Linked DNA regions of Lytechinus pictus. The protein of the gene in region 1 interacts with the protein of each later gene in a pairwise test. Links are inferred from orthologs where the notes say so. Each region holds a gene or a part of one and is shown on either strand. Other genes may lie near its edges.

The links.
Region 2: the proteins of LIM and senescent cell antigen-like-containing domain protein 1 (region 1) and ras suppressor protein 1-like interact in a two-hybrid assay, tested with the Drosophila melanogaster proteins (3 studies listed by BioGRID). The link is inferred for Lytechinus pictus from reciprocal best matches to the Drosophila melanogaster genes stck and ics.

What each region holds. Positions count from the first base shown.
Region 1 is NC_087260.1:17,719,788-17,736,684, reverse strand, and holds the start of LIM and senescent cell antigen-like-containing domain protein 1, read left to right. Parts: upstream 1-10,577; 5' UTR 10,578-10,769; coding exon 10,770-10,780; intron 10,781-16,006; coding exon 16,007-16,117; intron 16,118-16,897. Other genes in the region: methylosome subunit pICln-like, read right to left, coding at 7,617-7,738.
Region 2 is NC_087247.1:32,134,196-32,150,827, reverse strand, and holds the start of ras suppressor protein 1-like, read left to right. Parts: upstream 1-8,817; 5' UTR 8,818-8,928; coding exon 8,929-9,037; intron 9,038-9,685; coding exon 9,686-9,736; intron 9,737-12,354; coding exon 12,355-12,475; intron 12,476-13,733; coding exon 13,734-13,852; intron 13,853-14,665; coding exon 14,666-14,748; intron 14,749-16,030; coding exon 16,031-16,145; intron 16,146-16,632.

The DNA.
Region 1 (16,897 bases):
CGCCGTGAACTTTGAAAGGTCGTATTACCGACGGAGCTCACTGCGCTACTCTCTTACCCCCTTTATAATGATATAAATCTTCTCTTCAACCTCGTGGTGATAGCGGACCCCGCCATAAACTTTTAAAGACTGTACTATTGACGGAGCTTATTACGTTACTCTCTTACATCGTTTGTGATGATATACATTTTATTTTCAACCTCGTGGTGATAGCGGACCCCGCCGTGAACTTTTAAAGATCGTGCTACTGACGGAGCTCATTGCGTTACTCTTTTACATCGTTTATAAAGATATAAATCTTCTCTTCAACCTCGTGGTGATAGCGGACCCCGCCATAAACTTTTAAAGACTGTACTATTGACGGAGCTTATTACGTTACTCTCTTACATCGTTTATGATGATATACATTTTATTTTCAACCTCGTGGTGATAGCGGACCCCGCCGTGAACTTTTAAAGATCGTGCTACTGACGGAGCTCATTGCGTTACTCTCTTACATCGTTTATAAAGATATAAATCTTCTCTTCAACCTCGTGGTGATAGCGGACCCGCCATAAACTTTTAAAGACTGTACTATTGACGGAGCTTATTGCGTTGCTCTCTTACATCGTTTATGATGATATTCATTTTATTTTCAACCTCGTGGTGATAGCGGAAGCCGCCGTGAACTTTGAAAGGTCGTATTACCGATGGAGCTCACTGCGCTACTCTCTAACCCAGTTTACAATGATATAAATCTTCTCTTCAACCTCGTGGTGATAGCGGACCCCGCCATAAACTTTTAAAGACTGTACTATTGACGGAGCTTATTGCGTTACTCTCTTACATCGTTTATGATGAAATACATTTTATTTTCAACCTCGTGGTGATAGCGGATGCCGCCGTGAACTTTGAAAGGTCGTATTACCGACGGAGCTCACTGCGTTACTCTCTTACATCGTTTATGATGATATGCATTTTATTTTCAACCTCGTGGTGATAGCGGACCCCGCCGTCAACTTTGAAAGGTCGTATTACCGACGGAGCTCACTGCGCTACTCTCTAACCCCGTTTATGATGATATACATTTTATTTTCAACCTCGTGGTGATAGCGGACCCCGCCGTGAACTTTGAAAGGTCGTATTACCGACGGAGCTCACTGCGCTACTCTCTAACCCCGTTTATAATGATATAAATCTTCTCTTCAACCTCGTGGTGATAGCGGACCCCGCCATAAACTTTTAAAGACTGTACTATTGACGGAGCTTATTGCGTTACTCTCTTACATCGTTTATGATGATATACATTTTATTTTCAACCTCGTGGTGATAGCGGATGCCGCCGTGAACTTTGAAAGGTCGTATTACCGACGGAGCTCACTGCGTTACTCTCTTACATCGTTTATGATGATATACATTTTATTTTCAACCTCGTGGTGATAGCGGACCCCGCCGTGAACTTTGAAAGGTCGTATTACCGACGGAGCTCACTGCGCTACTCTCTAACCCCGTTTATGATGATATACATTTTATTTTCAACCTCGTGGTGATAGCGGACCCCGCCGTGAACTTTGAAAGGTCGTATTACCGACAAAGCTCACTGCGCTACTCTCTAACCCCGTTTATAATGATATAAATCTTCTCTTCAACCTCGTGGTGATAGCGGACCCCGCCATAAACTTTTAAAGACTGTACTATTGACGGAGCTTATTACGTTACTCTCTTACATCGTTTATGATGATATACATTTTATTTTCAACCTCGTGGTGATAGCGGACCCCGCCGTGAACTTTTAAAGATCGTGCTACTGACGGAGCTCATTGCGTTACTCTCTTACATCGTTTATAAAGATATAAATCTTCTCTTCAACCTCGTGGTGATAGCGGACCCGCCATAAACTTTTAAAGACTGTACTATTGACGGAGCTTATTGCGTTGCTCTCTTACATCGTTTATGATGATATTCATTTTATTTTCAACCTCGTGGTGATAGCGGAAGCCGCCGTGAACTTTGAAAGGTCGTATTACCGATGGAGCTCACTGCGCTACTCTCTAACCCAGTTTACAATGATATAAATCTTCTCTTCAACCTCGTGGTGATAGCGGACCCCGCCATAAACTTTTAAAGACTGTACTATTGACGGAGCTTATTGCGTTACTCTCTTACATCGTTTATGATGAAATACATTTTATTTTCAACCTCGTGGTGATAGCGGATGCCGCCGTGAACTTTGAAAGGTCGTATTACCGACGGAGCTCACTGCGTTACTCTCTTACATCGTTTATGATGATATGCATTTTATTTTCAACCTCGTGGTGATAGCGGACCCCGCCGTCAACTTTGAAAGGTCGTATTACCGACGGAGCTCACTGCGCTACTCTCTAACCCCGTTTATGATGATATACATTTTATTTTCAACCTCGTGGTGATAGCGGACCCCGCCGTGAACTTTGAAAGGTCGTATTACCGACGGAGCTCACTGCGCTACTCTCTAACCCCGTTTATAATGATATAAATCTTCTCTTCAACCTCGTGGTGATAGCGGACCCCGCCATAAACTTTTAAAGACTGTACTATTGACGGAGCTTATTGCGTTACTCTCTTACATCGTTTATGATGATATACATTTTATTTTCAACCTCGTGGTGATAGCGGATGCCGCCGTGAACTTTGAAAGGTCGTATTACCGACGGAGCTCACTGCGTTACTCTCTTACATCGTTTATGATGATATACATTTTATTTTCAACCTCGTGGTGATAGCGGACCCCGCCGTGAACTTTGAAAGGTCGTATTACCGACGGAGCTCACTGCGCTACTCTCTAACCCCGTTTATGATGATATACATTTTATTTTCAACCTCGTGGTGATAGCGGACCCCGCCGTGAACTTTGAAAGGTCGTATTACCGACAAAGCTCACTGCGCTACTCTCTAACCCCGTTTATAATGATATAAATCTTCTCTTCAACCTCGTGGTGATAGCGGACCCCGCCATAAACTTTTAAAGACTGTACTATTGACGGAGCTTATTGCGTTACTCTCTTACATCGTTTATGATGATATACATTTTATTTTCAACCTCGTGGTGATAGCGGATGCCGCCGTGAACTTTGAAAGGTCGTATTACCGACGGAGCTCACTGCGTTACTCTCTTACATCGTTTATGATGATATACATTTTATTTTCAACCTCGTGGTGATAGCGGACCCCGCCGTGAACTTTGTAAAGGTCGTATTACCGACGGAGCTCACTGTGCTACTCTCTAACCCCGTTTATGATGATATACATTTTATTTTCAACCTCGTGGTGATAGCGGACCCCGCCGTGAACTTTGAAAGGTCGTATTACCGACGGAGCTCACTGCGCTACTCTCTAACCCCGTTTATAATGATATAAATCTTCTCTTCAACCTCGTGGTGATAGCGGACCCCGCCATAAACTTTTAAAGACTGTACTATTGACGGAGCTTATTGCGTTACTCTCTTACATCGTTTATGATGATATACATTTTATTTTCAACCTCGTGGTGATAGCGGACCCCGCCGTGAACTTTTAAAGATCGTGCTACTGACGGAGCTCATTGCGTTACTCTCTTACATCGTTTATGATGATATTCATTTTATATTATCAACCTCGTGGTGATAGCTGACCCCGCCATAAACTTTTAAAGACTGTACTATTGACGGAGCTTATTGCGTTGCTCTCTTACATCGTTTATGATGATATACATTTTATTTTTAATCTCGTGGTGATAGCGGATGCCGCCTTGAACTAGTGCTGTAGCCGAACCGCCGAACCGAACGGTAGTTCGCCGAACATGGCACTTCCGAACCGAACAGAACCGAACCGAACACTAAGACTTGGTTCGGAAGTTCGGCAAAAAAAAAAAAAAACGGCTTTCAGCTAATAAATTTATACATGTAAGTTTACACCCTTTCTAATCATTATATTTGCGCATTCTCTAATCTTCTTTGCAATTGTATGTTGGAAGTATGCGCTTATTTTGCGGTTACTAGATTTTGTTTTCATTTTCATGTTGACATTGTGGTTTTTACGGCCCTGATTAAGAAAGGAGATCCGATGAATGATGTTGCGCGAGCTTGCGCTATAATCATTTTACTGGCTTTCATCATCTCTCGCTCTGTGGCCGAATCGCCGAAGCATGGTAAAGAAAACCAAAACTGTATGAGTGTTCATTGGTTAAATCTAATTATTTAAATATTGTTGTTTTTAGGTGGCGAACAAGATTCTTGTTTGAAAATCTTCAAAGTATTTTGAATGAACGAGCTCAATAAACTGAAAGTGAAAGATGAAGTACCATTAATATTACGAATTACGATACGTGATGAAGATCGTAACTCGTGTATTGTTGCGGCGGAGAATAAAGATCTGATTGAGGTGATTAACATTATTATTGAGGTGTCGGCTCGCTACTGTCTAGTTTTCATGATTCTAGAGAGAAGTAAAGAGTTTTGAAAACGAGAGATCCAGTGAAAGTGGGAAATAAAGTGAGTGACTGTTAGAGATGGAAAGGAGAGACGCAAAACAAATAATATAGAAATGAGATGAGGTGAAGTTATCTTTTTTATTATTAACAATCAGATGAAAATAAAAATCAAACACTCATGAATGATTACGGTATAGCATATAGCAAGATCCCCTTCCCCTCGTTGAAAAGTTGAATGAAGATAAAGCGGAAACAGTCATCTCTTGGGGGAAAATGACCCCCAATCTTTACTTTTTTCCCTTTCTTATCAACTTCTCAAATTAACCATAAACAATTCGATGATCACTCTACTCCCCCTGTCCCATTACAGTCGTAAAACTTTGCATCCCACTTTGTCTGTATGTTCATGGTCGAATGAAATCTGACCAATAAAATCATAGAAATCTCGGCAATTGCTTTTCAATCGGTGAGCTGAGTTTCGCGGGTGACAAAGCACGTGGCTGTATGTACCAATGCGACAATCAGCGACATGCGATTGGTGGTTTAGTTCACCCATCGAGCCAATTAGCGAAAGGCGCATTACATAAGCACGCTTTCTTCGACACGCCCCTGGCCCTACTATGCCTGCAGTTCAGTGCACTGGCGCTGGCCGCCTCGTATGTGATGCAATGGCCAATCACGTTTGGCCGGACTGTAAATATAAATATTCATGAGCTCAGAGTCCCGCTACAAGGGGACTGCATGCGCTGGCCTAACTGGTACCGGTACGAGTGCGAGCGTAGTTAATTTGGCAAGTATCCAAAGCGTGGTCCAGGTATGGACGACGAGGAAGAGTCGCCATTTTAGAACTGTGAGTTACCCAATAAATCTGTCATCAGATAATCAAATTCGAGATAACAGTTGATTCGTTGAGCGCTATAACTTTCATAGTTTCATGTCAGCAAGATAGAGATAAAATGGTTTGATGTGACAGAGGACACGCGAGCACATGCAGTCAATCAAGTACAAATTGTCTACCGAAACGCTACGTATACCTGAATGAACTATAACTTTTATCAGTCTATCATTACCGAACCCCGAACCGAACCAATGTTCGGCAATTTTCTGCCGAACCTTGCCGAACCGAACCGAACCCGAACATGGCGCCTGACTTGCAGCACTACCTTGAACTTTGAAAGGTCGTATTACCGACGGAGCTCACTGCGCTACTCTCTTACCCCCTTTTTTGATGATAGACATCTTCTCCGTGAACTTCAAATTGATTTGAAAACGCTAGCTACCCAAAACATTTTAATAACATTTCAAATCATCGTGCGTGCTTGCGTCTTCTACTTCATTTTAATTGCACTTGCGACTTTAAGATGATGCGTCGTAAGAGATCATTCCAATAATTCTAAATCGCTAGCACCTAAAAATACTTCTAAAAGATGTCCCGCCGATCGTTCATTAACCTCTGATCTATGAGAAATATTTTCATTTTATTTTCCTTTGCGCCTTTGCTCGGAAGATGCGTCTTTCGTTTATCTTTCTAATAAAAATCACTCGGTTTATTTTAAAGCAATAACACCTCAAAACCCCTGGCTTTAAAACATGTTCCAAACGATCGCGCATGTTGGCGACTTCCATTCCAATGCATTCGTCTTTGTGACTTTGTCAGGAAGATGCGCGCGACCGCGAACAACATTTTGATGTCATTATTCCTTTGTTTTTAAACATCGCCGATTCGATTTTCGATTCGATTTCGATTTTAGAAGCTTAACTGCCGATCCGATTTTCGATCTGATTTTTGATCCGATTTACAACATTAACTGTATCAGACCTAGACCAAAAGCTTCTGTCTCTGTTATTGGTTGTTCCGCTGAACTCCGTTGGCTCCACTCGACAATTACAGAGACCGAAGTTCTAACCCGATCTGTACAGGGACTTGATCTCTGTATGTTTATGTATGAAGTTCGGATGAACCAGTGAAAATGGCGTTGCGCGACAGCCAAAGTCACTGGTTTTTTCCTTTTGAAGTTTATTTTTCCCCGTTTTGGTGCATGCCATTTCAGGCCAAAACGGAATACATGTACTTTAATTTAGTCCAGTTCTTTTTATATATTTTTATGAAATAAAGACAAGAATCGATGAGTCCCGGCATCGGAGGGATCACAGGCTTCACAGCTGGATTTTGCATTGTTAACCCCCTAATGGCGGCTGCACGATCGCGAGCCGTCTGTGTACGAGAATTAAAAAAAAATTAAAAATGTTAAAAAACTCCGCGAAACAGACTGCTGCCAGCTGTCTATATCAGTCCTACCTCGAGCGAAGTTCATGCAGGCTCCACTCCACTTCACATCCTCACACATATAAATAATTCGCTGCCGGTTTCAAAACATCGCATGCGCGAGGGTCCGAGCTTGGACCGGACCCGGCACCTCGCACATACAATGTATCGCATCCGCATGCGATGTTTTGAAATTGGCAGCGAATTATTTATGTGTGAGGAACTTCATGTTGGCTCTAAACTAAATCACCAATTTTGAGACTGATAGAAGCATGGAAAAGAAGTGAAACTTAGTGTAAAGTAAGAATATTATTATTAGTTTTATTGTTTTTATTAAATATCGTGATGTTGCATGAATTTTATATTTCCCCCCCATAAAACCCCACCTTTCATGTCCTTTGTCACTCGGAATATCAGATCGAGTTCACGGTCTCGAAGTTCGGGTTGGTGGAGCGTAGTGTAGCGGTAGTGGACTCTGTGGAGTGGAGCCTGCACGAACTTCGGGTTGGTGGAGCGTAGACGTACATGCATGTAGTGACTAGTGACTGTAGCTAGCGCCAGTAGCGGTAGTGAAGTGGAGCCTGCACTGCAGGCTGCACGAACTTCGCTCGATCGTATCAGACCACATGCATCAGTAGGCCTACCGAATTTGGAGCCCATTATCCAGCCTTTCACAAGCTTCATTCTCTCTCATTAGCCGACCCCCTGGCAAAAATAATCCGGAACGACCAGGCCATGCTGCATGCATGCATGTCGGGCGCGGCGCTTGCTGCAGGATCAGGAATAAATCCCAGCGCAATTTGTACCGGGTCCAGGCCGACTCTTCCCCGATCATGACGGCTAGAGTTTCGTCTAAATGGAGTCTCTGATCATGCCCGACAGGCGCGGCGCAGCGCGCACGCCTTATTACTTAGTTTTTTTTACCTTTCAGCTATGTATAATGTCCCCTTAGACAAGTCTTGTTTCTCCACGAAAGCAATGGTGTCATCTTTCTGCCACCTCACTGATGACTGTGGAGGTTGAATTGAAGCGATAAATCCCATCATTATTTCCCTTCTTTTTTTTCAAGACACCCGCGTGATGGCGATATCTTCATCGAATCGACTAAATTTCGTTGGGTTCATTCGACAGAGATGGCGCTGTGCCAAATAAGGTCCATGGCCATGGTTCAACATCGACCGTTCAATTCAATTTTTATTTTGGGGGTTTTCGGAAAAAAATGTAGATTTTTCATTGAAAGACTGTTTTGTGTGTGTGTCAGATATTAAAAGGTAAATTATTAGAGGCTTATTTTTTTATAAAACGTATGGATTTTTTTTTATAAAACGTATAGGACGTATAAAAGGCATAGGGGAGGGGTAAGGTACCGAAGAGGAGAAAAAATACCGAGGAGAAAAGGGGAGAGAAATGAATGAAGAAGAGAGAATAGTATGAAAATTAGAAGTCGTAGACACAAACTCGTCTCTATTTACCCATATAACTAAAAATGTCTCTAGAGAAAAGTATAGCCTAGGCTAGTAGAAATGAACGACAAGTGCCCATCATTAGCTTTCGATCAACTCACACTAGTCTTCCGCTGAGAGAACCCCGATCGATCTATTAAGTCATTTTTTTTAGTGAAAAATCTTTAAACATGGGGTATTGTATTGGGGTATCAGTTTGAGCTTGAAAATCTGTAAAGGATAAGCCCACCCCAACAAAAAGATGGTTTGAATAAAAAGAGAAAAATCAAACAGGTATAACAAATAAATTTTCATCAAATTCGGATGTAAAATAAGAAAGTTATAACATTTTTAAGTTTTGCTTAATTTCACGTAATAGTTATTCACATACTGGTCGGCATGCAAATGAGGGTACTGATGACCCCGGGCTGATGGCATCCACTCTTTTGTATTTCATTACATGGAATATGAAATATTCTAATTTTCTTCTCGTTGTCATGTGAAACAAAGTTTTATTCCTCCCTGAACATGACTGAGTAATTATCATTAACATTTTGTGATTCTATAACTATAGTAGGCCTATCAAGAGGGTCATTATTGTCAAATCTGCAAAAATTTAAATAGTTATTTTAAACAATAAAAAACAAAAGAAATAGTGAGTCAGGAACATCATCGACTCTCTCATTTGCATTTTAATGAGTTATTTATACAACTGTTTTGTGAAAAATATACGCGAAACTTTAAAGTGTCATAACTTTTTTATTTTATATCCGATCATTTGATGGAATTTTCAGTGTTATGCTTTTTTTATTTTTCTCTTCAAATTAACTTGTTTTTTCCTAGGTGAACTAGACCTTTAAACATACCTTGTAAATGATTTTGTCTTTTCGTAAATTTAACCCATTTAAGTCATTTTTTCCCAGTTTTCCAACAAACTTCAATTTTTGCGTCCGTCAGTAAACAATTTTTTTTTTAAAGTTACACATGCCATTACAAACGACTAGAACACAACATGGGTCTCTTTTAGGAAGAAAATCCGTAATAATAATGGGTACCCCCTTTCACAAAAAATAATTGAAAATAGGCACGAGTTTCAATTAAGGCTTCATCTGTACAACCCCTCCGGACCGATAAATCGTTGATTTGGCTCAACAGGTTGTGGAGGCTGAAAAAATACAATTATTTACTTTTTTCATATTTTTTTTCTTTATTTTATTTTGCCGGATCTCGTGATTATGAATTTTAACTATCAGTATCTTTAAAACCCCAACCTGAGAAACCAATTAATTGAATGCTTTATAAACATGATTTTGTACTCCATTTTTTTTCAGCCTCCACTTTCTTTTTCAATAAACGTATTTATTATTATTATCATCATCTCATTGGGATTTTTTTATTTTTTTAAATATACATATCTTCATTGAGCATTGAGAGTCAAATTAAGAGAATATGCAAATGATATGTTATACCAACCTGAATACAGACCGTGATCTTTTCTCCTCTGTCAGGTAATTTTATTTTACATAAATATGATTGATTTTTTTTTATAGATATGTATGTCCTTTTTTCTTTTCCTTATTTTTCTTTTATCTTTTTTCCTTCTATTCTCCTCTTCGTGTTGTTATTGTTGTTGTTCTACGTGTTCTTTTTCTTCCTTTCCTCCTCAATTCTTCTTCCGTAATTCTTCTCCTCCTCCTCCTTCTTCTTCTTCTTCTTAATTTCTTCTTCTTCCGTTCTTCTTCTTCTTCTCTTCTTTATATATTTTTCTTGTATATATCATCTCTATATCTTATTCATTGCTTAAAGTGAATTGTGATTTCCTTTTTGTGTGTAAATAGTATAAATTTACCTTTTATTATTTCAATTCTATTTTGGCCTACATATCGATCGAGGACCCCACTGGAAATAAGCTTTCGAGCTTTCGTGGGTCTTCCTTTGAAAGCCTTTAATGTTATTATGTTGTGGCCGGTGACTTACCAAGTAAAATTCATCCATCCATCCATCCAGTGGCGCTGGCGTACCTAGGATTTTCCACAGGGGGGGGGGGGGGGCAAATTCGTCCGCCAAAAAAATTTGACAAGCAAAAAAAAAAAAAAAAAAAAAAAAAAGGTCTTCAACCACAAATAAATGATTTTGTACCAGATAAAAATTTGACAAGCAAAAAAAAAGGTCTTCAAGACTCGTCAGGGGGGGGGGCAGGCATATGTCCCTTGCATGGGTTGTGACTCGTCAGGGGGGCAGTCTGCCCCCTCTGCCCCCCCCCCCCCCCCGTAGGTACGCTAGTGCATCCATCCATCCACCCATCCATCCATCCCCCATCCATCCGTCAGTCAATCCATCCATCCACCCATCCATCCATCCATCCATCCATCCATCCATCCCCCATCCATCCATCCATCAATTAATCAATCAATAGCCCCTCTCCCATGCCGATCGTGTGGCCGTGGGGACGGGGCCCTAATTCTGTGACTACTGTTTCTCGCTGATCCTCAAGTATCGCAATATGCATAGGACATAGCCCTTGAGAGAGGAATCAGCGAACCTCTTGCACACTTCACTGTTGATGTTGTCGACTTCCGCTAGCTGCGGATTATATTTTTAGGAGTGGCTTTTTGGCAAATTTTATCGATCACCGATGACAAAAACGTGAGTGTTTCTATCAACTTAATACTTGTTATTGAAAGCCTTTGATGTTGTGAGCTAGAATACTTTTAAACCACCAATTTCCAGTATATTTCCTATGTATTAGCAGTTCCTATAGTCAGAAATTGTATTTATTTATGGAAATTCTATCGCGCTCAGCATGAGTCAACGGAGAAGCAGTTAGCGAATGCAGCGGATTCTGAATGCTTCGCATACCGGAGTTGCCCCTAAGCACGTCGGCGAGTTAGAGGTCAAACCCGCTAGCTGAGAAACGTCTACTGCAGTGGTATCTGATTACAGTGCTGGGTAGCATGTATTTTAGACGTTTTCTTTACAATTATTGTAAATGATCAAATAGAAATTCCCATATGATGTAGGGCATGTAACTCTTAGCCTTTAGGACTAGTACTAGTACTAGTAGTAGTAGGACTAGGACTCACTATTTGTATAAAATTAAAAGTACTAGTGATGGCAGTGTATATAGGGCCTAGTAATAGTATTATTATTGCCTGACATGACACCTTTAATATTTTCAGTGCTTTAAAAATGACAACTAGAGGAAATGCAATCAAGAAAAATTCACGCTTGCTTTTCCAAATATTATGAAAATTATGAATATGATAACATTATTTTATATTTACCAACCTATTTCTTCGTATCGCACTTGCCGCATACCCCTCCACGAAAAACCATTATTTTTGTGCGCGACAAATTACATCATGATTCCGGACGCGCGCCGGACGGGTAAAGATATCCTTGATTATAATGATGTAAGAACAAATTTTTGTGATTTTTTTCTTCTTTTATCATATCATGAGTAAATTCTAAGTATTATTTGCTTTTTTTATATCGAATCTGAGCAGATGTTGGTAATAAATTCGTGTTTGATAACTTTTTGTCTTGTTAGCTGCATGTTCCATGGCACTTTCCAATAATAATATGCACGCGTTCGTATCGTGACGCTCATCAAGTTCTATCGATGCGCTGCCGATCGACGGCTCTACTCACGGTAAACCTCGCGCACGGGTACCTTGAGAACTAGCCGTCAACGATCACCCACAATGCCCCACACCTCGTCATTCGATCGAAGGAGTGGACGAGATTGAAATTCGGCAAATCAGGCCCATATTTCCGTTAGAAAATATATCAATTGTTAATACAAAACTATGTTATATGATATTTTAAGCATTTTCTGTAATTTTTAGAGATAATTAGGTAAAAGTTTGATTTTTTGCTTTGTTTTTGCAATCTTGTTCTATGTATTGCTCTGTGAAATTGAATTGCGGAAGTCTTACGGTACGAATTTGTTTTAGAACGCAGTGATACGCGCGTCCGGAAACATAATAGTGTCCGGTAATACAATACGTGACTATACTACTCAGTCAGACGGCAGGTCCCAAGAAAGTGGCTTCTTTCATCCAAGTGATAATTGATATTCATGACTTGAGATGTTTTGCATATTTAATGAGCTTGATGCGGACCAAAACACCTCTTTTCATTCGGTCTTTGCTGCTCTACTTGTGCATCGAATTTCATGAATTTGGTATCATTGTAAAGAAGAAGAATCATTCTTTTAGTTTTAGGTCATGTGTTTGAATTCATTCAAAGATTTTGTAATATACTGTAGGTTAAAATTTTGATCTAAAATATGCTACAAAATAATTATTTTCACATGAAAAAAGCTGCTTATTTTTGTTTGAGCCCAAATGATTTTTAGATCATGATAAAGCTGAATATGTATGCTTTAAAATGACATAGGTTTCAAAATAAGAATTGGTTTAATCGGGTCAAGATCACACTTTTCATTTGCCAAGTACATAAAGCAGCATGAAAACAAGAATACTGCACTCTGATTGGTCAAAGAGACCACACACTGGCAAATTCCAACGGTTCCAGTGCCTGGGTTCATGGGAAGGTCACACTTCCCATGTGGTAATCTCCTCAAATACCCCGCGCCTGTTGTTCTGTGAACCTTATCCAGCCAATCAGAACTCTGGATTTCATGCATGTACAAAATTTCAGAAATCTCGTCTTGTACCTTGGTGGGAAAAGTGTGATCTTGATCCGATTAAAAGGTGCCGCATATCAAGAGTGGCATTGTGAGAAAGTACAGAAGTTCAGCTTTATGGTGATATAGATATCATTGAGGCTCAAAATAAAAAGTTTTGCACAATTTGCAAAAGAAAACAGAGGAAGAAAATTCAGTTTTGAGGCACATTTTCAGGCCAGAAATTTACTTATTTAACAAAATATTGTATACAAAATAAATGACCAATATGAAAGAGTAACATTTACTCTATCTGATGGTGCAATAATATTTCATTTAACTTGAGGTTAAAACAGGTAAATTCTAAGAGAAAGAAAATCTCACGAATCACGAGATTTTGCAAGGAGGAGGATTCAGCCACGAGATGATTTGGATGAATCTGGCCTTTTTGCTCATTAGCATAGGGACCTGCGGTCTGACTGTACTGGTACTACTTTACTAGTAATAGGTACATTACATGTGATGTAGGGGGGTTAATAAGAACTGAACTAAAAAATAGGGCAGGCGGCAGTCACAATTTGTGTTGTCTTTTTGGTTGTGTTGCTGTCCATAATTAATAATCATCTAGACTATTAATAAAGTTACTGTCTACGTTAACTAGACTAAGACACATGTAGATCTAAGTCTAAGTGTTAAGTGTCGTACACGAAGATATCTACATTATTATATTATACATGTAGTAAATATACATGTTACTTCACATTATTAAAGGACAAGTACACCCCAACAAAAAGTTGATTTGAATAAAAAGAAAAAAAAATCCAACAAGCATAACACTGAAAATTTCATCAAAATCAGATGTAAAATAAGAAAGTTATGACATTTTACAGTTTTGCTCAATTTTCACGAAACAGTATACATGTATGCACATGCATCCTGGTCGGTATGCAAATGAGGAGACTGATGACGTCATCCACTCACTATTTATTTTGTATTTTATTATATGAAATATGAAATATTCTAATTTTCTCCTCATTGTCAAGTGAAACAACGATTAATTCCTCTCTGAACATGTGGAATTAGCATTATTTAATACTATATCACATGGTTCAGTCAAGTTGGTCCTTATTGTCATATCTGGTAAAAATGAAATATTGTATAATTCAAACAATAAAAAACCAAAGAAATAGTGAGTGAGGGACATCATCGACTGTCTCATTTGAATGCCACTGAGTTGTGCATATTACTGTTTTGTAAAAAAAAAAAAGCAAAACTTTAAAATGTCATATAAACTTATTTAACATCCAATTTTGATGAAATTTTCAGCGTTATGCTAGTTTGATTTTTCTCCATTTATCCAAAGTGCTCAACAATTTTCTGGGGTAGACTTGACCTTCAAGGACAAGTCCACTCAACAGAAAGTTGATTTGAATATAAGGAGAATAGGTCTAACGTTAGGGCCTAATCTAACTAGCATAAAACTGAATTTCATCGAAATCGGATAAAAAAAGAAAGTTATGGCATTTTAAAGTTTCACTTAATTTTACAAAAAAGTTTAATGCAGGATTTCTTTTGTATTCCATTATGAAATATGAACAATTATAATTTCCCCCATATTGTCAAGTGAAACAAAATTTTATTCGCTCCTCCCTGTACATGGGGTAGTACCATTACATGTATCTTATTTATAGTTTATGATTAAGTTAAGTTGGTCCTTATTGTCATATCTGTAAAAATGAAATATTTTATAATTTAAACAGTACGGTAACAAACAAAATAAATAGTGAGTTAGGGACATACATGTAATCGACTCTCTCTCATTTGCATATCACTGAGTTGTTCATATACATGTACATGTTTTCCTTCTGTGAAAAATAGAAAATAATCTATTCATCATCATCATCATCATCATCATTATCAGTAGCATCATCATCATCAGCATCATCAACATCATCATCAGTAGCATCACCACCACCACCACCACCATCATGATCATCTTAATCATCATCCATCATCAGTAGCATCATCATCATCATCAGTAGCATCACCACCACCATCATTACTTAGCATCACCACCACCACCACCACCACCATCATCATCATCTTAATCATCATTCTTCATGTACATGTATTATGAAATATCATTTTTTTTTTCGTATCAAGCCTACATGTACAAACACACCAGGCTTTGAGTAAGTAAAGCAGGAATTATTTATCTGAGGTTGGACTGGCATTACTATTTTTCACGAGGGGCAAAGCCCTGAGGGAAAAATAGTAATTTTGCCAGTACAACCGAGGATGAAAAATTCCCTCTATACTTTCGATATAAAGGCCAGACCAGTATATTTGTTTTATATCCTACATTCAATAATTTAGAACAACAGATCTTGATAATCTTGTTCTTGTACACGTTCATCCTTTTTTTAGTCTGAACCAAAATATAGATAACGCGCTGCGCTGACTGACCTACTTGTCCTGAAGCTACGTGCTCAGTGGAACACGCATTTGAGCCTGTGCCCGAGAGACTGAGCAATCTGTGTCAATTAATGATCTGTGATGTCAATGATGGAATAGTGCACTATTCCATCATTGATGTCACGGAATACTGGTAGTAATTTCTCTTCAGTGGGTATTTCATTTTCAACATTTCAAAATAGTGGGAATATGTTTGGTCACATGATGCTATTCAAACCAATCAGCATACATACACGATTCAATTTTTGTAGGATATAATTATGTTTATTATCCAGGTTACATGTACAGTGTAGTTCAAATGTTGCTATTATTAACTCATTCATTAATTTACAATGAAAAATTCTGATATCATTAAAGGAGACTTTAAAAAACATGGTACAGTGTATTTCAGTATTTCTAAACAAATACATTGTAATTGATCCAACTTGCTATTAAAGGCCTAAGCCTTAAAGAGCAAAAACTACGTAAAAAGTGTAACTCAGTTGCTTTATCCTAGTATTCCTCTATTAAAAGGTCAAAACTCTGCTAATCAGTATGAAGCATTAAAATACCATGGAGGTTGATTTATTGGGGTGCTGAGCCTTATGAATATGATGTAATGTACTAGGCCTATATAATTATGTAATTGACAAAGTATTTTTTTTTAATGAAATGAGCTCAGATCAAATTGTCATATTTTGTACATCTCAGGGGCTAAATCCCTCTCTGGCCGCACTCCCTCTGTATTTTGTTGGCATTTGATTTTTATTTCTTTCTCTTTTCTCCAGGAAGGAAATGTCGCTTTTGAAATCCGCGTGTGTGCGATGCAACACTGTATTTAGAGAAGATCAGCGGATCGTCAACTCAAGTGGTGAATTGTGGTGTGAAAAGTGCTTTGTGTGAGTATACTCCAGTTGTTATTAGTGAGGAGGGGGGGGGGGGGGGTGAAAGTCCTGCACGTTTAAAGGGGAAGATCACTCTAACAGAAAGTTTTTTGTAAAAATAGCAGGAAAAGTAACCATTGGCGAAGGTTCAAGGAAAATCCAAAAGAACAAAAAAGTTGCATGTATATTTTATAGAATTTTAATTATTTGATTTGTGACGTCATATAGATGTGAGCAGCTTTCTACATACCATATGGTAACAAATTTATGAAATGTCATTTTCTCAGAAAATTGAAAATGGTTTTAGTGTACCTTCATTATCAATTCACAAATCATTTCACACCTGCTGCTGAAAAGAAAATAAAAAAATAAGTCATCATGAACCATTTAAAAAATAGAATTTATGCATTTTATATTACATAATATATGGGGCAACTACTCATTTATGATGTTACAAATCAAAAACTTGAAATTATGATAACTTTCTTTAATTTACATGTATTTTCCTCAAACCTTCACCAATATATTGTTTTTCCTGCTATTTTACAACAAAGTTTTCGTCAGGGTGAACTTCCCCTTTAATGACCAGTATGTACACTGACATTGGTATGGCAAGCAGTTTCACATTTAATCCCGTTTTTTATTTTTATCAACATTTACCATAAATGTAAACACAGAGCATTTGCCTGATTTGGGGCTTGAATGTGTTCTGACTTCTTTTAAGCCCTTTGACTGTCAACCCTCCAGGATAGCAACACAAATTTTGTTTAAATATAAAAATCAATTTTTCTGTCT
Region 2 (16,632 bases), on another chromosome or scaffold:
TTACATCATGAACTATATGTTATTGAATACTTTCATAACTGAAAATGTTGATTTAGTCAGATTTTCGTATTAAAGGGGAGTAAACATAGCCTATATACAGACATGAAATCATAAAAAAATCGACCTTTTTCACGCGCACACTGTGACAAAGAAAGGCCCCACAACAAATTTGCTTTCTGAGTAGGCCTACAGTTTGTCTGAACAATAAAGGCATTCTAGCTGGTTGCATTAAAAAAAAAAATCTTTTAACGATTAAAAATCATGTCCCTTTTCTCTAGCTTTTTTTACACCTCCCTTCTCATTCAACTATTCATCTCATCTCATTTATTTCTAGTTCAGTGGGGGGGGGGGGGGGGGGGGACGGGAGGCGAAATTATTTTTCCCACCGAGTTCTGGACCAACATATGAATATTCATGACTTGCGTCTTCAGATTGAGAGTACGCATGCGCAGTGGACTTGGCCTCGACCATACCAGTGCCGATCGTAAGCATTCACGTTGCTCAGAATGAATTTTCCTTGTATTATTTTCTTTGGCCAACAAGAATGTTTTAAGTCTTAATGATATTCTGAAAAGATTTGGTAAACTTGAACACAGTCTCCAATTTTGTCATATCCAAATGGGTTATGTCAATGGCATAATGAGCCAGAAACTTTGAGGGGCCAAGCATGGCATATATAGAGCAATATTTCTGTCAAAAAAAAAGAAGAAAGCGATTGAAGCGAGCGAGTGAACAAAATTTGTCTCCCTCTTTCTATAAGAAAAGCTAATTTTGCAATAGATTGTTAAAAAAATAATATCACATTTACTCCATCTTTTCGTTTCCCTTCCCCCCCCCCCCCCCCGTGTCTAAGTTTATTCTTGGTGGTGGGACTTCTTCTTCTCTCTATCTCTCTTCTAAATTTTATATTTGTTTTGGGTCAGATTGACAAAACAAAGGGGAAAAAAATTACTTCTTTTTAATCATATATCGTTCAACATTGAATCTCATTTCTCTACAGTTTCAAGGAAATAAACAACGTATTTGTTTTTGTGTCAATATGGTTTCAAGAAATAATAATTAACAAAAAATAATTTAAAAATTAATAATTATTAATATTATCAATAAGTATTAATAATTAATGATTAATCATCTGTTTAATAAAAGTGGTTGTAAGCAGAAAAAAAAAATGAAAACTGACAAGAGTCCTAAAAATTACTCATTTTCAGTTTAAGCATTTGAAAATTTTAGCTTGCGCTTTGTGCTCTCTTGCCCCCCCCCCCAAAAAAAAAATATGCCCTTTTTAAAAAAGAAATACCTTTTTTAATAATAAAACATAATACATTTTAGGTTCGAAAATCACAGATTTTGAATCGTGCTTGCATCAATTATTGTTTAGTACAGTACTGCTAATGGTTACAAAAATGTATAGAATGTTGCTTTATGGTTGAAATATCACAAATATTTGGCTTGCTTCCTGCACTCGCATCAATTATTGTACTCGTTCTCTTCCCGTTCACAAAAAAATGCTTAGAATGTCCAGTTTTCAGGTTGGAATATCACAAATTTTTGAGCTCGCGCTTTGCGCTCGCATTATTTTTTATTGGTGAGTTATGTATCTTATTTAAAATGCAGTAATTAACTGCTTCCTTTACTGGTCAGTATATAAAAAGAATTAGCGAGCGCAAAGTTATTTTTTAGTTAGATACACATCTTTTTCATGATTACAAAACCAGCTCAGAATAAAATAATGTCCATGTCTTATTATTTATTTATTCATTTATTATTTATTTATTCATTTATTTCCGTTCAAACAAAAGATATAATCAAAGTAAAGTGTAAATACATGTTCAAAATAGTACATACAGTTCTATAACATTTCATAACAAATATTGAAGATAAAATTATCTGAACGGAGGGACTTGCCAAGAAAAGCAGAGCTTGTAAATAAGGCAAGTCCCTAAACATAGTTCTAATACTAATTAACATAACCTATATACAAGAGACGGGTGGAAAACAAAAATAAAATACATAATCTACAAAATACCAAAATAGAGCGTATAAGCGACAACAAAAAGTGGAAAGTAATTTGAATAATTGGAGTGATAACGATAATGATGATAAAATTTTTAATAGAAATTATAAGAGTGGAAAAGGGAGGCAAAGGAAAGAGAGGGGAGAAAAGGGTGGTGCAAATAAAACTGAAAATAAAAAGAGGAACATGACAGGTGCACAGGTCATAGGACACTGTAGTGACATTATTTAGAATATATATTAGACAAATTTGTTGATAATTAAATGATAGTTGTAAATACGTTTAGTTACAGTTATATATTAGCTTGACTTGTTGGTGTGGAGTATTGACAAATTAGCATCTTTTTAAGTTTGCGCTTGAAAATGTTAATGCTTGGTGATTCTTTAAAATCATTGGGCAGTGAATTCCAATACACTGGTCCAAAAAAGACGAAAGAGTTTTTTGCTAAAAGAGTACGGGTTGGGGGTAGATGATAACAATTACGTTGTCTCGTTGGGTAATCATGTATGGAGGAGTTTTTACAAAACATATTTGAAAAAAATGTGGGGAGATCATTTTTATTTAGTTTATACATAAATTGGGCGAGTTGGAAAAGATATAAATCATTCACTTTAAGAATATTATTTTGGAAAAAAAGGACATATGTGTGTGATCTGAAATGAGTTTGAAAAACATTTTGAAAAAGTCTGCCCCCCCCCCCTTTGGTACACTAGTAGTGGTTCCATGCTGATAGCGCGTAGATCAGAGTCTAGATCTAGAGACTAGACTAGAACTAAGATATTTATTTTAGATCTAGGACTGGTTCTGTATACGGACTAGACATATTAAACCATGGTAAATAAGCTAATATTAGTCCAAACCCAATCAAACGTAAAGTTCGGAATTAAGTTCGAAGTTAACCATGGCATTAGTCGGCTATTCCTATTAGTATTAGGCATTAGACAGGTCCAGATTTGAGGTAAAGTTAATGCGCTAGCCTAAGCTAGCCCTACCCTAGCACATGTCCCCGGGGGGGGGGGCACTCGACCAAAAAAGTGGTGGGGGTGTGCCGCGGGCGAGACAAAAAACGGGGGCCTTGGAGCGGGCTTATTGTAAAAAGGAGGGTCCTCGGAACGGGCTTCGGAACTACAAATGTTTGTGAAAACGGGGGTCCTTGGAACGGGTCGCCTGCGTGCGAGTGCGTATGTATCCCTATGGAACGTGCATGCAGCTGGGCTGCGGCACGACTGCCGGGCGCGCTAGCGCAGAGGCGATGGTCAGACGGCGAGCTGCGGCCGCTTTTCACCAAAATTGCGACCGGAACGGCGTAACGGAAAATATGCGAAGCCCTATATAGCTGGAGCGGATTTTTTTCTTCTTTTTTTCTCGAGAAGAAGAAAATGCTATGCTTTGGAGCGGCTTTCTTTGTTCTTTTTATAAATAAGACAAAAATGCTATGCCTCGGAACGGAAATTTGAGTGTAAAAGTGGGGGTCCCCCCGGGGGTCCCCTCCGCGGCACATACCCACTATGCATTATATACTGAGTGCCCCCCCCCCGGGCACATGTCTTGCCATTAATGGCAGCTAGTTTAATAAGTGTTTAAGAATTGGATGTATATATAGATCTAAGCCTATAAGGCCTATGTAACTATGTAAGGGTACCGGTAATTTGACGATGCTAATTCATTCTGAGCAACGTGAATGCTTACGATCGGCACTGGTCGAGGCCAAGTCCACGCGCATGCGTACTCTCAATCCGAAGACGCAAGTCATGAATATTCATATGTCGGTCCAGAACTCGGTGGGAAAAATAATTTCGCGGACGGGAGGGGGGTATCACTATGCCCTACATGTATTTCTACTAACTGCAACTAATCCCGGGGGATGAGGGGGATACACCCCCCCCCCACACACACACTTTTCGGAGAGGGGGAGGATGGCAATTAATCATCCCCCCCCTGCACGTACACTTTTCAAGGCAGAAACAATCATCAAATGATTAAAAATTAAGATATAAGATAAGATTTTATTAAACTATCGACCCCCGATCGGGATCAGTATGAAATTCTCGACAAAAACATATAAATAATGAATTTGCGTACACATTGAACATGCGTATAAAAATGAACATAAAATTATATATTTTACAATATGTCACAGGGGCCGCGGAACCGGGGGGCTGGGGGGGCTTCAGCCCCCCCCCCCCCCCACACTTTTTTTTCCAAAACCGTGTACAAAAACGTAAAAATGACCATATGATTGTGATTTTTAGCATGGTCAGCCCCCCACTTTTGGCTCAGCTCCCCCCCCCCACTTTGAAAACCGTTCCGTGGCCCCTGTACAGTCATAGGCCCTAAAAATGAACATATTTACAATGATGAATACAAATGTTTGCATAAATTAAGTACCGCATGATGTTGCATGCAATAGCTAGGCTATACACCCGGGGCTATATACAACAACAAACAACAAAACCCACTATAAACTATTATTGTCGTGTTTAGCACAACATTGTAAAACGCACTGGCCCATATTCTGAAGTCGGGTTTAACTTAAACTCGGGTTTATAGTTGTGGTTTTAAGTATGGATATAGCCAAGTGTTACATTCATACCGAGGTTTTTTTTACCTGACTGCTAAGAAAGCACGAATGCCTGTGTGCAAGCTAGCAACCAGGGGACCAACGACTTAAGGTCCTCTCCGAGGGACCTGGTAATGAGGATAAATGCCTTACCAAAGGGCACTATAGCGCACCACTTGGGAATCAGTCGAACCGCTCTACCGACTGAGCTATCGCGCCTCATAAATCACTAACAGTATAGAGATATCAAATTTAAGCTCACTTGGCTTTCAAATCATTCATAATTGTCTAGGAAGTATAAATAGCTTGTCTTCACCATCGATGAATCAGGAAAGAGCACAGTAAACATAAGAAACATACAACTTAATAAAAAAAAATGACACTTTTGGCTTCCCATAACTTTAGCACAGATCGAGTTAGACCATGGCAGTGGCGGATCCATCAGGGGGGCACAGGGGGCGCACGCCCCCCTAATATTTGAGCGGCGCCGAAGTCGCCGCTTAAAAAAATTATACACTGATATAATATTAGCAACAGTAAAGGAAAGACTATCCCCCAGCAAAGACTTAACCCCTTTTTCAACATTATGGCGCCGGTGAAGTGCAAATGAAATATGTGCGCCGCTCGGCAGTACGCCCCCCCCCCCTTTCGCCAAAAGCTGGATCCGCCTATGCATGGTCTAAGTTAAACCTGACTTCAGAATACGGGCCACTGTGTTTAACCATCCTACATGCACTGCTAATAGTTACATTCACTCTGGTAACTGTATAATAGCCTTTATCAATTACTATATTGTAATGAATTTTACAAGTTTTTTTTTTAATATGGCACCTTTTACAATCTACCCATTTGGCAATATTTGGTAAGCACACATCAGGGTCCTATAGAATATTCTTTGGTTATGTATACATGTACATCTATCTTTCTTTACTAAAGAAAGAACACACAAAATGGAACGCATCTCCAACTTCCTTCAGAGAGCATATAATCATTCACTGATTCTAGAATCGGTTATTGATGGGTACACCTTTTAGACCTGCATCTGAATGACACAATGTGGTTGCATCAGTGTCACTTAAAATTAGGAAATATTACTCAAAACCCCATTTTCCCCCGTCATCTTTTGAACAACTTAAATATACGATTTGACCATCAGTTGGTACATGTTAATAGAGGCCCATGCACCCTGACGTGTTAAAATTACACCCTAGAGATTGAACATAACACCAAAGAGTGTAAATGTAACCAGCAAAGGTGTATTAATAACACCTATAGACACTGTAGACACTGTCAATTTAACACTGGTTTAAAAATTATTGTGGTCCTCTATATGTACACCGGTTAAAACCAGTTTTTGCTGTGGACATAATTTTTTTAACGCAACTTCGAGAGTTTTAGGAACCAATCAGTCCCAATTCTCTTCCCGGATCACTTGTGATAAAAATATTAACCAGAATTACACCTGCTTTCTGAAGTATTCAGTGCAACTCATCCATTTTTACGTGAACTGCATATTATAGTTGTTAATGTGTGGATTCATTTATAAAAGCGGTATAATCCCCATGCATGATTAGCTAAATTGCAAGTGTTGTTAGCTAAATTGAAAGTCCCCTCCTACGGTCCTGCATCATGAGAGTATATCAAGAAAGTTACTTTCAGGGGCGACGATCCTGGGGGCGGCCCCCAAACTTTTTGAAGCACTGAAAATGTGCCCTTTTCACGCAAGAAAAATACCCCCTCACGATCGTGTACTGTGCCCTTTTTATCGGAAGAGGACCCGTTTGGGTGTTACCAAGTGCCATTTCGTATAAGTGCCATTTTCCCCAAAAAAATGCCCCCTCACAAACTTGTTCTGTGCCACCTTCATCTGAGAAGGACCTGTTTTATGTTTGAGCAAATTCTCCCTTCTTGTAAGTGCCCTTATCGTATCAGTGCCCCTTTTTACCCAAGACTAAAATTGCGCCCCTCGGGAACATGTCCTGTGCCCCTTTAACCTGAGGAGGACCCGTTTTATGCCGTTAGCAAGTGCCGGCCCCTTTTCCTTCTTATTATATAGGTGCCCTTTCTCATATCAGTGCCCCTTTTTACCTAAGAAAAGTGCCCCCACGAACATGTTCTGTGCCCCTTTCACATGAGAAGGACCTTTTATATGTGTTAACGAGTGCCCCTTTGCCTTCTCATAGGTGTCTGTTCTTCACTCAGATATAGATAATTTCCGTGCCCGATGAGCGCCCGTTTTCTTATGGTGCCGTTCTGCTTCCTTCTGCAAGTGCATAATGAATGAAAAAACTTGTAGAATTAATCCTACGTGCCTTAAAGGGATGCTCCGGGATGAAGATGTTTATAGAGTAAAATTCTTAAAGCAAAGTGCTGAAAATTTGATCCATAACAAATAATTTGCATTATTCCGGTGAAACAGTTTTAAGCATGTCTTCATGAATATTCATTAGGTGGGCTGATGATGTCACATCCCCACTTGTTCTTTTGTATTTTATCATATGAAATTAGGTTAATTCAAAATTTCTCTACCAAGAACTAAAACAATTATTGGATTGACATCTGATTAAGTGCATTAGTTACCCGGGGAAGGGGGGGGGGGGGCAGTCAAATGTATTGCTGTATACACACGCATGGCCAAATTATTTCCAAACACACCCTAAACGAGTTTTTCTCTGTGTGCAAAATAATCCCCTAAAAAAGTTTTTCGTTTCACGCGTGCATGTCATGTGTACAGCAATATATTTCATTGCCCCCCCCCCCGGATTAGTTATTTCTTGCTGCACCTTTTTCGTGTTATTTCGTAATAATGGAGGCACGTCATTTACACATGTTATGAAAAATTAAACAATTATGATTTCATGTAATACCATAAGAAAAAAGAAAGTGGGGATGTGACATCATCAGCCCATCTAATGAATATTCATGAAGACATGCCTAGAACTGTTTCATATCGGAATAATGCAAATATTTAAAATTCATTGATTTTTTGCTATTGATTTTTTCCACTGAAAGTTTATGCTTGCTGCCCTTCCCCCCCAGCGAAAAATTTCTGCATACGGCCATGTTAAAGATAGTACCCTTTTCGAAAGAAAAGGTGCCCTTTTCCCCTGTGCCCCCCCCCCCCCGCTTTCAACTTCACTCCGCTGCCCCTGGTTAGTTTAATGACTCGCAAAAAGGTCAGAATTATTTACAGAATGATAAATTGTGTACCTCAATTTATGCTAATAATGTTTTATAATGATTTTCTCCAGATTTTGAGCTAAAATAATATGGACCTCATGGAAGAACAGTATTTGTCATAATTATGTTGACAAAACTGAATATGGGCTAGGCCTATCCATCGATCCGTTTGTAAACGGAAAATAAATACTCTACCTCATACCGGCTATAGATTATTTGTCATTCTCAGAAGATTTTTATTAGGGCAATCAACTTGAGCAAATTCGATCAGAACAACTTCCAATCCTGTTCATTTTATCTTATAAACCTCAACAGTCCTTAAAATATCACATTTTCAGTTCAGTGGGCTCTTACACTTTTGTATACGTTACTTCATATACGAGCAGCTGTTATATATGTCGTGTAATATAAAATGAATAATTTCTTTTTTAAAATGTTTGATGATGACTATATTTTTTTTTCTTTAAGGAGCGAATAAATAATTTGTCCATCTGTTGATATACTGAAGGTACAATAAAATCATTTCAATTTGTTTGTTTTTTCTTATGGGGAAGCTGCTCGCGCATCACAATTCAAAAAATTAAATTCTAATAACTTTTTAAATATTTGATGGATTTTCCTCAAACCTTCACCAATTAATATCTTTTTATTATTTTTCTGCTATTTTTACATAAACCTTTTGCCAGGCTATATTCGGTGGTTGGGGCACTGAAAGTTATAAGCCTATATACGACCAAGAAAAAATAAGAAAAATAAGAAACAGAAAGAAAATGAAATAAAAAATTGAAATGATTATGATACCATTTCAGGATCTATGAAAAAAAATGCAAAGACATCACGCACTCATTATATCCCGGTTTATTTATCTATTCAATTATTTAATTTACACAGCCGGGTAGTCTCTTCAGTATATTTATATTCAAAATCAGCTTTGACTTAACATTTTAAGCTCTTCAATTCAAGGAGCTTGTCGATTGGGAAATAAAATGGATGTACAGTACACCACCACGATTCCCGCCCCACCCCCACCCCCATATGCTGAACTTAACCCCGCCCCAATTCCCTACACTGCAAGAATTCACTTCCGGTTTGACAGCTACACCCTTCTACTCACACCAGACTTGAGCCAAATATTACTCTTTTTATAATTATCACTGGAAATTAATCCTCGAAAATGTCTAAATCTGTCAAAAAACAGGTTGATGATGCAAGAGAAAACAGGCACCAGGATCTCGATTTGTCGGATAAGAGCATTTCAAAACTGCAGGACATTCCAGGACTGTGTAAGTATTTTTCTCCGGTCCCATTCATTAATATTGGTGTAGGCCTAGGCATAACACGGTCTTACATGATGTAATTTGGAAATGCTTCTGATGAGTGAAAACAAATAATACAAATCAATTTTTAAACTGTGATGAAATGGCATTTTGTGGGATTTATATCATAATAACATGGTAGATCTGCTCGCATATCTGTAACATAAAAAAATAAACTAGAATTAAAAAACTTCACTTCTTTTGACAGTTTCTTTTAAGTTTGGCTTTGGCTTTGCTGAGTCATGAGATGAGTGATACATATGTATGTTCTGCTTGTATTTTGCTGCTGCGAATACAATTTTAACATGATGTGAGTGTACAGTAATAATGCCCTCTGCATCTAGCCTAGCTCCAGATGAAGTCAAACCAAAATGTACAAATTTATTTACATTTGTCTAAGTCCTAAAACTTTCATGTTCACTGTCGAAAAAAATGTGTAAATTTTCCAACTAGTAAAAATAAGGAAGTTCACCCGAAAAATCCTGAATACTAAAAATATTGTGGTAATGAATTTCAGAATTTAGTCACTGTAGAGTTTTATTGGCATTCCTTAAGAGGGGTTAGATGTCAAATGTGTGTTAATGAATGATCTTTATCTTCAATATTTTCTTTCAGTTTCGCTCAGTAATCTTGTGAGGCTGACTTTGAGCCACAATAAGATTGATGGTAAGTTCTATAATTTTTTAATTGCTCCTCTCTTTCTCTCAATTTCGAGATCTGTCACTTTCTTTACCTATTTTTCTCTGTCTCTCTAAATGGGCTGTCCCACAAGGTTATATCATGTCCCACAAGGTTATATCATAACCTTGTTCATAGAATGAGTGGTCACACCCTAAGATTTAGCAAGCATACGTTAGTGTATGTATGGCAAGCTGTTTTAATGTTTGAAGTTTTAATCCTATTCCATTTCTTGATATATATTGAAGTAATACTATTATTGATATCGAGAATAAATTTCTGGTATATATTTTTGTAATGTTAACAAATGGCAATTCATCTTATCAAGAGTGAAATTATTTATATCAAGCAATAGCTAATTTGAAAAAAGCTTGTTATAGATTACTGTACATTGATGTGTACTTCCTTTGCATATGATTATTAAATCTTAAACCACCCTTTTCTTGAGGAACTTATTCTAGAGTAAGAGTATATTGCGGAAAAGGAAGAGCAGATCAGTTACAAAAAAGTGTACTACCGATTTCCTGTGACTTTATAGTTTTCAGGGGAAGTGGTTTTTGTAAGCTTAGAAAACATTCTACTTTTCTTCCCCTTCAGTTTGCTGCCTTCCAATTCCATTTCTAATAAGCATTTGATTTAGAATAGGCCTTGTTATTCATGCAAGCCAAAGGTCGGCTATATTATGTTTGAAGTTTGAAAAATACTTCTGTCTGGTTTGGTCTGGTCATTCCTATCTCCTGTTTTGTAAATTGAACATGCAATGTTAAAAGAGGGAAATTTGTAGATGGTGATCTATTTATCTCTGTGTAGATACCTCAACATTACAGTGCATGTAACAAATACTAGTAATAATCTGCCAATTTTCAAGGGTTGGTTCAAAGCTGATTGAATCAGACTTTAAATTTACTTGAATATGAAAGAGCAACTCTTCTACTTTAAACTGATATTAAAATTTACTTGTAAGAATTCAAACCTTTTGCAAGACTTTGCAAGTAAGAAAAAGATGAAGCTTTGACTGATACCTCAATGATAAAGTACTCTACTTTTGAATTGTGGTTATTTTAACCCTAAAAGGACTGGGGGCCATGATGCCCCCCCCTCAACGCTTTACGCAACATTTCCAAAACGCAAAAAGATAGCGCCGCAAAATTTTATGACTTTTTTCTTTAAAGTCTTGCGCAACTTTTGAGACCAAATTCGCCACATACAGGTATAGCATCGTGGCGTCACGTGACTTTTTACGAGACAATGTCATGCCGAAAATGACTCATTTTTATACTTTGTGTACAAAGTCTATGGGAGATGAAATTCATAAAAGGGTGATTATTTTTCGTTCTAATTTGGTCTGCTTAACCCTTTAGCACCTGAACCGCCCGAGACCGCCCTTCCTATTACACACTGAACCGCCCTTAACCGCCCGTACGTTTTCTTTGCGCTATAGTATCTCTTACCGTGGTAATATTGCGTGTGCATACCGTATAGGTTGGCTGCTACATAGATCTGCATAGAAAAGTGTATGCTTCTATTGAGTATAATAGAGAAAAACCGATTGACATGCATCGGTGTGTAGCAAGTTCCAGACTTGCGCAGTCGATCTCAGCAAAGATGGCTGCGTCTATGTCTCGGAAAACCACTTACTTCGCCGAAGAAGCTCGGGTGTTGCTATATGTTCATCAAAACGTTGAATATCACACAGAGTGACATCTAGATGTGAGTTGGAATTAATTTTTGACATATTTGATCCAAGGTTTGGCGAAAACTTTAGTATTCTGTCAGTGATACTTTACATTTTTTTTAAGGCGTGGGACTGGGGCGGCTGAAACCCGAACTTTTGTTTTTTTTCTTCTCGCTCTGCAAATGATTGTCAAAGGTCAATATTCATACATCTGATTGAACTTTGCCATGTACCATTCTATTCAACAGGTCCTATGCTACAAAATAAATATAACTTGTAATGAACAAAAGTAAATTTATAAAAAACTATTTCAATTTGTTTGGAACAATGCCTACTTATTACCAGTTTTATTGTTTCCTCCAGTGAGTAATTGCCATTATGCATAGGAATCTGTAGGTGCTATAGGGTTAATTAATTTAGTTGTTAAATGGTCTGTAATAATTTCCATTAAAAAAACAATGAAAAACAAAAGATGAAAAAACAAAGAAATACATGAATTCTAAAAACAAAGAAATACATTATAAGGAAAAATTGGCTTTCGCAACTTTTCTCTGTGGAAACCTTTAAATAATTATTTTCAGAATTTTTTTATACTAGCTTGTAGTTTAAGTGGTAAAGAATGTTCTTGCCAAATTTCGGCGCGATCGCGCGAACGACAGCCGGGATCAAAAGGGGGGCCATCATGCCCCCCCCCCCCCCCGTCCTCAATACATCTCAAATAGCCCAGTCCTTTTGGGGTTAAGTAGCTCTATATGCTACAAGTGTTATTTATTTGATGCAAGCCTAACGTCAGTGTAGAATTCTTTCTCCAGCACCCAACTATTAATTATAGTCACCATTTACTTTGCACAAATATAACAGTATATATCTATATAAAATCTTGAAGTTGTGAAATATAATTAATATGCGTGTATATTTATTTTGTATCTAGTTGTTCCACCACATATAGTAGAGCTGACAAATCTGGAATCCCTCAATCTATTCAACAACCACATAGAGGAGCTACCTACAAATATAAGCTCGATGCAAAATCTCAAAATCTTAAATGTTGGGTAAGTCTCTTAAATTGTAACTTATATTTCTTATTGGCTGTTGCAAGAAACTTATATTCAATTGCAAATCAGGCATAAGTCCCTTAATCAAGAGTAAGATCATTTTGTAAGAAAGTTTAGTTGCAATTGAAGTATTTAATGCAAAATCAACAACAAATTTTCTTTTAGATTATAGGAATTGAACTTGATTTTTGGACTTACACTTAATTTCGAATTGAACATAAGTTTCTTGCAGAGCCCCATAAGATTTAGTTTTCGTCATGTTGACAAACTTTACAAATTTATACAGTCATTGAAACCTTTTCCCCCATTAAGGTAGTCTAGATCTGGACATTAGGAGTTATTTGTTAGGACTCACTCACCTTTCACCAATACATTAGTCCTCTCTCTTTTCACCTTCTAGTAGGAGAAGGTGAGAAGAGAGAAGACTGATGTATTGGTGCAGGTGAGTGAGTCTTAACAAATAATGTCCATATGTAGACTACCATTAAGGTGGCATTGTCATTTCAATTTAATTTCAATTTGTATGAATTACTTTCTCAATTTTATATCATCTATTTTGCCACATAAGATCAAAGTACAAGGATTTTAAGCTAAAATAAATTACAATGTTTTTACCGGCTTTCAGTATGCCCAAGTCGGGGGTTCAAAGACAATGGCATCATGATCTGTCCGAAGCAATCACATTCTGGTGACATTTTTCCCATTCAAGTACATGTACATTTCATGCTGACAAAAGATCTTAATAAGTAAAACTTTAGGGATTCTTTTTTTTACTTTAGCTTTCTCACAATGGCTTGCTAAGTTTATTTGGATGGCCGACCTTGGGAGATCAAACTAAATTAACATGAATAAAATGTTATTGAGACAACATTGGCAGAGACATTCACAATAAATCTATTGACAAAATGGAGAATATCCATCCAAAATAGATCCATGGCAGTTGACACATGTATGATTCCTTCTGTGCGAGCATGTCATGGTATAAATCTCATCTTTTAATCAGAGGGTCGTGGGTTTGAATCCCAGCCATGGCGTGTTATCCTTCAGCATGGAGTATACCCATATTGTGCTGCACTCAACCCAGGTGAGGTGAATGGGTACCTGGCACAGTGTTATCCTTGAATGCACTTAGCAGTGGAATGGCAGCTCCAGCTAAAGTCGGGGTAATAGTGTACCTGGGATTAGATAATAGATGCACGTAGCTGGTGGTATAGAAATGCCTATTATTATTGTTATTATTATTTATTGATTTCAGCATGAACAGATTGTACAGCTTACCTAGAGGCTTTGGATCATTTCCCAAACTAGAAATACTGGATCTCACATACAACAACCTCAATGAGAATAGCTTGCCTGGAAATTTCTTCTTATTGGGTAAGTTATACAATTTATATACCTCCTTTCTGTTTCTCTTTTATTTTCCTTCCTTTTATTCTAATTGTTCTAATTCTTCCATTTATATTTCAAGCATTCTTTCCATTATTCTTCCTAAACATATAGGGAAGAGTGAGAGGCACATTTCCAAAACTAAATGTAACGGAGAAGAAAAGTGAAGGAAAAAAATAAGAAGACAAGCTGAATGAGCTAGAAAGCAATTCAAATTGGATAAATTAGTAATATCCCAGATACGGAAAAGTTTTGCTTCTTTCTCATGTGTTTCAACATACATGATGAATTTTTCCCCTCAGAATGTTCATTTACAGGAGTTTAATTCCTTTTATGTATTGCCTATGTGCACATACCGGTATTCATATTTTGTCTTTGATGTAAGTTTACTGGCTCTGTCTGAAATGACACTTGCAAGAAAATAAGAACAATTTTCATACACAACTACCCTGGGAGTAACCACATGACAACTTTTGATATCCACTAAATAACAATTGCCAATTTAGTAAATTCACAAGGAAAGGGATTCCACTTTTCAAACCATAATTTATCTAAAATTCCTGCCGTCACTCTTGGTGAGTGTTTCATAAAGCTGTTTGTAAGTAATGAATGACTTTACACAAATTGGTGACTATTTAGCTGAATTTGCACCTAAGAACTTGTTGCAGTCGTGCGTAAAGTTAAGTGTAACTTTACAGCTTTATGATTTTTTTCCTTTTATTTCATACCAATAAACTCATTATTCTGGTTTGATTTGCATTTTATTATTCAACATTGTATGAATATATCTTTCTATAATAGACACACTGCGAGCACTGTATCTCAGCGACAATGACTTTGAAGTGCTTCCTGAAGAAATTGAACAGCTGAGCAAATTAGAAGTGGTGAGTAACAAACTAATACTTTAAAAAAGATATATTTCACCTCATTATTTATTTACTTTAAAAATATGTATTTGAAGTACAATCAATTCTAGTAAATCATTAACAAAATGTTAAAGAAGAAAAAAAATAAAAACTTGTCAGATGAGCTTGAAAAATGTCATGAAATGTTTCGTATTATTGAAAGGAAGTATCTGTCTGAGTGTCTAGACTTTTTTGGGGGGGAGGCTGGGGGTAATCATCATGGTGCATCTCAAGGATATATTATATTTAGAGAGATGGCACATTTTAAATACCTAGTAGTGGTGGTGTGATCAGGTGGGTGTTTCATAAAGCTGTTTGTAAGTTAAGAGCGACTTTAAGAAAGACTGGTGATCCTTTCTTGTGTTAAATGGTATATTCATTGGCGATGGTTTAGCCCGTAAGAAAGGATCACCAGTCATTCTTAAAGTCGCTCTTAACTTACAAACGGCTTTATGAAACGGCCCCCAGAAGCAACAAAATAAAGACAGTTCAGTTAGGCAGTAATGTCAAATAGAGGTCCTCATCTTTGGAGTACTATTCCAAACCACCTTAAGAATCAACTTTCTGTTAATAGCTTTAAACGTTCCTTTCGATTATTTTTATTAAACTTGCACTCAGTAACTTAATATTATACATGTATGTTCACCACCACGACTTTGACTTTTTCGTTTTTGTCCCCCCCCCCCCCTCTTACTATCACATATTTATTTTAGGGTCAACGCTCAACAAGTCAAATTGCTCTTTTTTGTTGACCCCTCATTCAACATAAATTGTTTTCTTTGTTTTTCTCTTATGTTAAGTTATTATCTTAAATGCTATATTCTATAACCATGTAAATATGTTCATCATTTTTTTACTTGTATCTTGTATATGTGTTTTTATGAAGAATGAAATAAGATAAATTAAATTCAATTCAATTGAAATAAATTATAAAGCACTCCTGATTCATTATGCCTCCTCCCACCTTTGATGGTTGGTGGGGATGTAATTTATTGGGTCTTTCATTCGTCCACCTGTCTCACAATGACTAATGAGCCATTGGACTGATCAATACCAAACTTGGCTCATGTGTGAGTGAGGATGATATGGGATATCAAACTTAACATTATAAATTACCAAACCTTCAAAATAAACTTTTTTTAGAGAGAGAATAACAAGCATTAGGTTGATTGTTCAGTTCAGTAGACAGTATACAATCCCTTAGCTTTATATTACATGAAGGTATGTCTCTTAATCATGTCACATGTCTTTTGCATTTTAGCTTTGTGTAAGAGACAATGACCTGATCTCCCTCCCTAAAGCCATTGGAAATCTGCCGAAATTGAGAGAGCTTCATATTCAAAGCAACAGAATCACAGTTCTGCCCCATGAACTGGGTAAGTCACTCATATAGCTTACATTGGCCAGATCTGGGGGTGTTTCATGAAAGTTGTCAGCACTGACTAAATTGTCAGTGCTGACTATTTCAGTGAAATCCTTGGTTTTTATTGGCTGAGAAGCTCTGGCCACTGACTGTTACTATGGTAACTGTCAGAGAAAGACATCTTGTCAGTGCAGGGTTGTTTGATTTCAATCATGTCAATTTAAATCATGATTTAAATCACGATTTAAATCACTTGATTTTTTTCAAAAAAATCACTGATTTAAATCAACTTTTATAAAAAAAATTAGTTTTCTCTATTTTCTCTTCTTCTTAACAGATACTTTCAATGTAATCATTTTCATTTCTGTTCCACATGCTTTAGAGATACTTTAAAAGAATGATACACCCTCATGGAGTCTGATTTAACACCACTGTTTTATTTTCAAATTGTAAAACAAGCAAAACTGATGAAAACAACAAGTTTCTAACGAAGTAATGAT